2 linked regions of the Coturnix japonica genome follow. The protein of the gene in region 1 interacts with the protein of each later gene in a pairwise test. Links are inferred from orthologs where the notes say so. Each region holds a gene or a part of one and is shown in the gene's direction. Other genes may lie near its edges. The genes, in order: RBM41 and RALYL.

The links.
Region 2: the proteins of RBM41 (region 1) and RALYL interact in binary tests that used the Homo sapiens proteins (3 or more experiments, as listed by UniProt). The two-hybrid records come from large-scale screens. The link is inferred for Coturnix japonica from reciprocal best matches to the Homo sapiens genes RBM41 and RALYL.

The regions. Positions count from the first base shown.
Region 1 is NC_029519.1:1,848,185-1,852,495, reverse strand, and holds RBM41 (RNA-binding protein 41), read left to right. Parts: upstream 1-1,294; 5' UTR 1,295-1,541; coding exon 1,542-1,549; intron 1,550-1,618; coding exon 1,619-1,735; intron 1,736-1,817; coding exon 1,818-2,007; intron 2,008-2,127; coding exon 2,128-2,332; intron 2,333-2,488; coding exon 2,489-2,850; intron 2,851-3,073; coding exon 3,074-3,218; intron 3,219-3,404; coding exon 3,405-3,562; 3' UTR 3,563-4,111; downstream 4,112-4,311. Other genes in the region: NUP62CL (nucleoporin-62 C-terminal-like protein), read left to right, coding at 984-1,075. UniProt on the Homo sapiens protein: May bind RNA.
Region 2 is NC_029517.1:110,838,632-110,842,442, forward strand, and holds part of RALYL (RNA-binding Raly-like protein), read left to right. Parts: intron 1-2,692; 5' UTR 2,693-2,715; coding exon 2,716-2,971; intron 2,972-3,811.

The DNA.
Region 1 (4,311 bases):
CTTCATTGTGAAGCCTGGCGTAGCTCCTGTAGGACGCTGACTGTACAGAACCTTAGAGAATAGTTGCTTTCTGTTTCATTTCCCATGAGGTGCCCTCAGGGGTGTCCTACAGCAGCGGGGTGATAACGATCTGTTCTAGGAACAGGCGTGCAAAGTGGTGCTTAACTTGTCTGACTTGTTCAAGCATTAAGTGGAACAGGGGGGACTTCAGTTAAACGAATGCTGCTTGTTCAGCTTTGCTTACACTGACACGAATAGACTTGCTGAGCACACGCTGCTGATGTTCCATCCCCACGGTGGCCTCCCTGGCAGCAGAGCTGGGATAACGCCTTGTTCCCAGCTGCTTTCTCCTCCTGATTGAAGCAGGAGTGTTTCTTTGTTCCAGCAGAGCTCTGAGTTGAGCAGCAGAATCAGGCTGCTGTTTTATGCCGGTTCTGCACGGTGGCTTTTTGCAAGCTGACAAGCAAATGTGTTGCTTAATGTGTTACTGGAAGGTTCTGGGTTTGGCACGCTTTGCAGGATTAAAACTTCAGCTGGAGTATCTCCAAACCACAGAGTGACATCACGCATCTATAATATGATTGGAAGTCATCTGTAGCTCCTCCGTCTCGTTGCACTTTTTACTATACTTGCAGTTCAAAGCTTGTTGTGGCTGTTATCCTGCAGGACAACGCTCCCACCAGATGGGTTAACCTGGAAGCTGCATAATTCCCAACGGCTGGAGTGTGATGTGAGGCGGGCAGGGAAATGCCTCCAGAAGGCGGCTGCTTTCTGCAGGGCTGCAGCTCTGGTGCAGGCTTTGCTCTGCTCTCTGCTGCCGTGCCTGGGAACTGCACTGAGTGCCTGCAGAGCTGTGCTGGGATGCGCAGTGCCATCTGTGAGGCCAGCAGGGCTCTGCCTTGGGATTCTGTCTGTGTTGGAACGGGCGGGTGTTTGCTCGCAGGCTGGGGCTGAGTGTGACCTGTTCTCTCCCCATCCCTCAGCTCTGCTGCAGAGGAAGGTGGAGGAGGTGACCAAGGTTTGTGAGAGCCGCCGCAAGGAGCAGGAGCGCAGCTTTCGGATCACCTTTGATTGAAGGACTCCCAGTTCACAACGCTTACCTCACAGCCCCATAGAGGAGAGGTTGGCGGGGACCTGCTCGGCATCTTTTGTTTTGTGTATGTTCCTTCTTTAATTGCAATAAATGTCTTTTTGCTGAAGTTACTCTTTGTGGCGGTGGAGGCTCCTCCTGCTGCACACACACACAACTGCTGCCCCAGGCTCAGCACTTTGTGCAAGCTGGATACTTGCAATCACAGCTCCGTGTTAGCTGGGTCCTTACAGAAGAGGGTTGACAGATGTGAGGAGTCTGATAGCCTCAGCTTCCCACCACGGCCATGTGGGCTTTAATGAGGGGTTAATGAGTTGTGCCTCTAACATCCCGCTTGTAACGCTGTGCGAGCGCTGCGGCACTTCGTCCTCCCCGCCGCCAGGGGGCGCTCGCTCCGCCGCCATCGCCGCGGGTGCTGCTGAGAGTTGGATCCCGGTTGGAGGCCGCGGCCATGCGGAGGTGAGCGGGGGGCTCCGGGGGGGCGGGGGCTGCAGGGCCGAGCGCTGAGCGGTGCTTCGTGCCGAGCAGGGTGAGCAGCAGCGTGTGCAGCGATGAGGTGCTGCTGGAGGAGCTGGAGACGGAGGGGGAGCGGCAGCTGAAGAGCCTCCTGCAGCAGCAGCTGGACACCAACGCCTCCATCGAGCGGTGGGTCCCGGCCGGGGGATGGGGGTGCTGATGGTGCGGCAGCCCCGCTCAGCTCCCGGCGGTCGTTCCGCTCTCGGTGCAGGTGTAAGTCGAAGCGGAGGTGCTTCGCTCCGGCCGCGTTCTACCGGCCCTTCGGGGAGGCGGCGGCCGGGGCTCTGAGCCTGTCCCAGTTCCGAGAGCTGCAGGAGAGCGACAGAGAGACCGCGGCGCTGCGGGACCTGGGGCTGTCCGACCCCGAGATCGAGCTATGGAGGAACCGCGCTGCGGGGAAGGTGAGGCCGCTCCGCTGTGTGACAGCCCCATAAACACCGGCCGGATGCGGAGCCGCCTCCTCTCGGCTCTCGGCCGCCCCACGCGGCGGGGCCCGTTTGACGGCGGCCCCTTGGTTGCAGCGCTCCGGGCTGGGGGCGGCCCCCGAAGCCGTGCGGGAGCGACTCGATGCCATCCAGCAGAAGATGGACGAGAGGCAGCGCATCCTGCAGCTGCCGCAGAGGTTTGCTGGCAGCAAACAGCTGAGCAGGAGGGAGATGGAGATCGAGAACGCTCTATTCCAGGGGACGGACCGGCATTCCTTCCTGCGGGCACTGTACCACCAAGGTGTGCTCCCAGCCCTTCTGCCCTTGGGGCTGTTTAACAGAGCAGGGATCCCACTGCGACCTGCAGGGATGGGGTTGAGCCCTGAGGTGCAGAGCGGCCCCTTTGCTGGTGGGGGACAAGTGCACCGTCACACCGTGTCTCTCTGTTGTGGATTAGATGACACCCCAAGGGTCACAGATGAGAAGGACCCCATGGGTCACCTGGACAGCGTTTACCAAGAGGTGCTGGGCAAGCAGCCGCCTGCAGGGGACCAACCAAGCACGAGTGCTGTGTGCTCCCTGCCTGCCCCAGCCCTGCAGGGCTCTGACCATGAGGACTCATCACCTCCTGACCAGCCAGGCCAGGCAGGGAGCCCCAGCCCTCCATCAAAGCTCCAGCAGCCCCCTCCAGGGCCTGTGACTATAAAGGAGCCTGTGGAGTTCATCCCAGAGGAGGAGATCTGCAGGAACCGGCTCTCTGAGGAAGAGCTCCGCAACATACCTCGCTTTTCTTCCTACCGTCCTGGGGAGCCCAACAAGGTACATGGAGATGAACCACGCTTTGTCCATCTTCCAGCCAGGAAAGGCTCTTTGCTCCTGCCTGGCAGCTGCGTGGAGGTGCCAGCTCCTGCGTGCGTGGGGGACTCCGTGCTGGTAGCAGAGCTGAGCTGGCTCCTATATGTGAGGTGTAAGGGCTGGCAGTGGGTTTATGTACACCCGTTAGCCGGGCACAGGCCGGCTGACCCCAGTGCCTCCACAACAGGTGCTGTATGTGAAGAACTTGGCCCCTCGTGTGACCATGCAGGACCTGGTGTCGCTGTTTGCCCGGTTCCAGCAGGACAGCACACCCATCCAGTTCCGCCTGCTGAGCGGCCGCATGCGGGGCCAGGCCTTCATCACCTTCCCTGGTGAGCTCAGCCTCCTGCCTGGCCCTTCCTCCTATCTCCCCTTCATCTCTGCTCACATTTTCTGTGTGCTGGGGGAGGACTCATCCAAACGTGCTGCTGGGTTTCCTGCATGCTGCTTTCTTGGGCTGGGGGCTGCAGCGCTGCGTCACGGTGTGCATTGAGAACCATTCTGCTCTCTCCTTGCAGATGTTCAGTCAGCTCAGGACGCGATGCTGTTGGTGAACGGGTACAAACTGCATGGGAAGCCCATGGTGATTGAATTTGGGAAAAGCAAAGTGCCATCAACAGAGGCTGAGGCTGCTGCTCCCTCCTGCTCTGCTGGAGCACCGCCTGCTGCCACGTAAGGGCTGGAGGAGCTCGTGGACTTGAACAGGCCCTGAGCTGGCCTTGCTGAGGACTGGTGGGAGCTGAGTGCAGCTCTGTGCAGCTGCAGGGCAGGGTGAGGGCTGACCGCAGCCTCAAGGTGCTGAGGAAGCACAGCTCTCCTCTGTGCTGCTGGTACATGAGGCTCTTCAGGGGGGCTGGTGCTGGGTGCTCCTCATGCACTGTTCTCACACTGCCGTTGGGGTGCTCCACCTGTCTGTGTTATCAACCCCTTGTGGCGAGGAAGAGGGGAAGCTGTGTGAACAGATGTGCTGATATCGTGTATTTCTGGATCTTTATTTGCACGTCAGTGTGCTCCTTTGAGAGAAAAGGGACTCGTGTGCAAGGAAGCATCATTTTTCACACTTGAATGTTTTAAAGCATCAGCATCGTTTGCCTTAAGGTGGTGCTTTGGGTGCAGAAGTTGCTGGGGCTCTGATATACTGGAGGTTGTCTGCTCTCACTGGCTGAGCTGCAGCCACTGTTCAGCACAGGAGCTCTGTGTCCAGCAAAAATAACCCAAGATTCTATTTATGTGTATTATCAGTTATTTCTTTCATGCTTCCCTTCCCCCCCATTTTGCATTTTTCCCCCAGAACAACTTGCAGGAACTGAAAACCCTTCCCCCTGCCCCAACCCACTGCAGGGTGCAGGTAAAGCAGAGAGGAGACAATGGGGAGGAGAAGGGGTTGGAGAGGTAAAGCAGAAACCTCCCACCTTTACCTAGTCC
Region 2 (3,811 bases), on another chromosome or scaffold:
AAAAGCTATGAATTTGCATTGCAAAGAAAAATTACTGAAGGAGCATTCAACATACTGTTCAAATTCAATTTAAATTAGTAGGCAAAATAAAATGAGAATTTTTAGGAAATGAAAATGAATAGTTTAGTAAGTTCTATTTAAAATGTTGAAACAATAGAGGAACTACAGAGTTTAGTTCTCTGGTGTTTTGAAAACAGTTGTGATGGCAATAATTAAAGAGATTCTTTGTTTATAATTTCCATGCAGTTTTGGAAAGGCAGATGATTTTCTTTAGATTTTTTTTCCCTTTTCATTTGTATCATCATTGTATTAGTTGTGCCCAGAAGTCTCAGCTGAGATCATGACATCTTTGTATTAGGAGCTTTATAAAAATACATGTAAAGAGCTCTTTTAGACAAAAATTCAAGTTTGAATTCTGAAAAGTGGCAAGAAAAGTATAAAACAGTGATTCACTGAGTGTCATATAGCATGTTAGTGGAAGAAAAAGAACTACAAGCCAAGCTTTTGAGACCAAAAGCCAGACATTTTCTCTGTGACTTGATAAATGTGCACAGAGAACAATAACACAGTTATGAGTAATATAATGATAACACCTTTATTTGCCAGGTCTGCATAAACACACGCAGTGCTACCCATGAGAGATTTTCCCAAAAGACTTGGCTTGTGCATAACACACTGGTGTATTTTTTTGCAATGTCAGGGTATAGCTGGTGAAAAAGGAATCCCTCATACTTGACTGCTGCAGTTTTTATCTTTGAATGCTGAACATTCATGGAGACCAAAATAGTGGATGTGAGCACGGTGAAACAGTGGGTGATATGTTTAGTCATGTCAACAGTGGCCACCACCTCTGTGACTTCTACAAGCATGGCATGCAGGCTCTTGTTCATCAGTGGTGAAAATGCATAGCTAGTGGTATAATATATATATATATATATGTATATTCAAAAGTTCAGGCATTTTTTGTCAAGGTAGTTTTCCTGGTTTTCTATGTTTAAGTCTGTGCATGTACGCAGTATATCTTGTATTTCCAGAATGTATTTCAAATTGTTAAATTTACAAGAAAACTTATTTTGGTTATACAGTGATTTCTCTGAATGTTCTAATATAAAGTAAAATATTATATTAAGAGTTTACAGAAGTAAATGGTATTTGACTTTTATAGCCTCAGTTGCATGTTCTCTTTTCAAAAAGCATTTTCTAGAACTCTGGAGAATTGCCCACATATCTCCATAGTGTGTTCTTACACAAAAGAGTGGGGTTTAAATCATGTGTTTTGGAGACAATCAAAGTACAGATAGCTATGACTACAGATGTTTTGTTCACTAGAAATTGTGTGGAGTTCAGTAACAATGGCTTCTTTTTGATTCAGTCTGGCTTAACGTTTGGTAGTTATTGATTTTAAATGTGAAATTTCTTCAAGTTAATGTCAAGCTCTGGGTGTCCAGAATAGAGTTTATTATTCGTTTTCATCTTGTGAAAAGAACTGAGCTTTAACTGTGAGAAGTATTTAACTGGTCTCTCTTCTTGCCTGAACTGTTACTGCGATATAATCAAAAGTAAGAACAATTTAAAAAATAGTAACATAAATCTTAGCTGTAAGAGATGGACTATATTTGTCTGCTGTTTGAATGGCCTCCTTCTTAAAAAATAAGTCTTCACTCTTACAAGGTGTGCATTTTTGACATGTCTGTTATCAATTATAACTGAAGAAAACCTAGCATGGGGTAATTTCACTTCTAAGTAAATTGATTTAAATGGAAGGACCACCTGGCAGGTGGAATTTACATACATGCCAACAAAATCAAATGCACTTCAAAAGACGGGGGCTAGATGAGCACAAAAAGTGTTCTTTCTTATTTAGAAAACATTTCCCCAAGAATACTGTAGCTTTTTCCATTAGAGAAATGGTAGGACCCGCATGGTTTTGTTACGTCAGAAAGAAAAGTAAAACAGCAACCAAAATTATTCATGTAATTAAGGCAATTTGTTCTTTTTTTTTTTTTTTTTTTTTTTTTAATTTTAGACATGTAAACCAGTTGTGCTTACCCTGTCTTTCTCTCTCTCTCTCTTTTTTTTTTTTTTTCTTCTTTTTTTCCCCTCACTGTATTAATAGGGAAAATTGTTCCAATGGAAACTTATTGATTGCAATAAAGAATTATATGTTACTGGTCCTACTCTCCTCATGATAGACAATGATATTTAACTGGTGAGAAATGTGCTCTGGCTAACACTTACCAAACAAAAGCAGAGAACAAAAGCAGAGTAGCCATTCATTGTTTGAGTTTGCTCTGCATGCGGCCTTGGATGTTCATTTCTTTGATATAAGATAATGACTCATTCTCTTGCTTTGTCATTTCTAGATGACTAGGTACTTAAAAAGTCAATATTGAATTTCCAAGCACAAATCCACATATGATTACTGCAGAGCTCCACTATCAGAGCATTATGTTAAGAAATGTATTGCTGTATATTATATCTATAAAATGAGAAGGTATAATTTGGTTTATTATCAAGATTTTAATATGTATTACTTAGGTTTTGTTGATAATCATTTTTTAGAATATACAACTCTTCTGAGTCTAGATAAAACTTAAGTAAAAAATGAAAAAGTGAATTATTGCTGGAAAAATCAACAGACCAGGAGTAACTGCATATTATAAAACATAATTCTCTTTGTTCTTTCTTTAAGGGTTACAGCCAAGTGATCCAGCCATGACCGGCAAAACACAGACCAGCAATGTCACCAATAAGAATGACCCAAAGTCCATCAACTCTAGAGTCTTCATTGGCAATCTGAACACAGCCATTGTCAAAAAAGGTGACATAGAAGCAATCTTTGCAAAGTATGGGAAAATAGTTGGCTGCTCTGTACACAAAGGTTATGCATTTGTACAGTACATGAGTGAGAGACATGCCAGGGCAGCAGTGGCAGGAGAGAATGCCAGGATCATCGCAGGGCAGCCACTAGGTAAGTGCTTGCTCACGTCATTTAAATACTGTTTTCTCTTTCCTTTCTGCATCATCTGCTGCTGTTGCCTTGGAGATTAGTGAGTTTGTTTTACCGTTGTTCCCTATAAGTGTATTTTTAGTATGTTGGGTTTGGCAGAATTTTAGATGTACTGTGCACTGCCTAGATACTTAGTTTTGTTTTGGGTGTTGATAATTCTCTATGTGAACTCACTGCAGTGAATATGACTAATTGGGTGAAGAATTTATAAGTGTTTTCTCTTAATCTCTGTTAGTAAATTAAATGTGATATGGTTAGAATTGACTAATAGGTGTGGCTGTTTTGCCTTTAATGAATCTAAAATAACATCTAGCCCAGTGTTGTGCAAGATTTTAGATAGAAGCAAAAGAATGAGTTTTGTTAGGCCTTGAAATCGTACCAAATCAAACTGTAATTATTCATTTCGATATTTTTACTACAGAAATCTCAGGTTGAAGTTATTCCCACATGATACTGCTCGTTTGAATTCCAAACTATATATATATATATACATATAAAGATGTAGCACTTCATTTTCTAGAACTTTATCTTGAATATTTGTGTATTTCTGTCTTTTCTTTTTGTTTGGTTTAGCCCAACAGGTGGCTCAGCATCACACAGTCATTTGCTCACTCTCTTTCCCAGTGAAAGCGGCAGAGAATCAGGGGAAAAAACATGTAGAACTTAAGGCTTGATCAAACTATTTATTAAGATAGAGAAAGTGGAAAGGAGAATAGTTACGACTACATATACATATACATGTGAATGTATATAACAAGTGATGCAGAAGCAATTGCTCACCACCTCCCAACTAATGCCCAC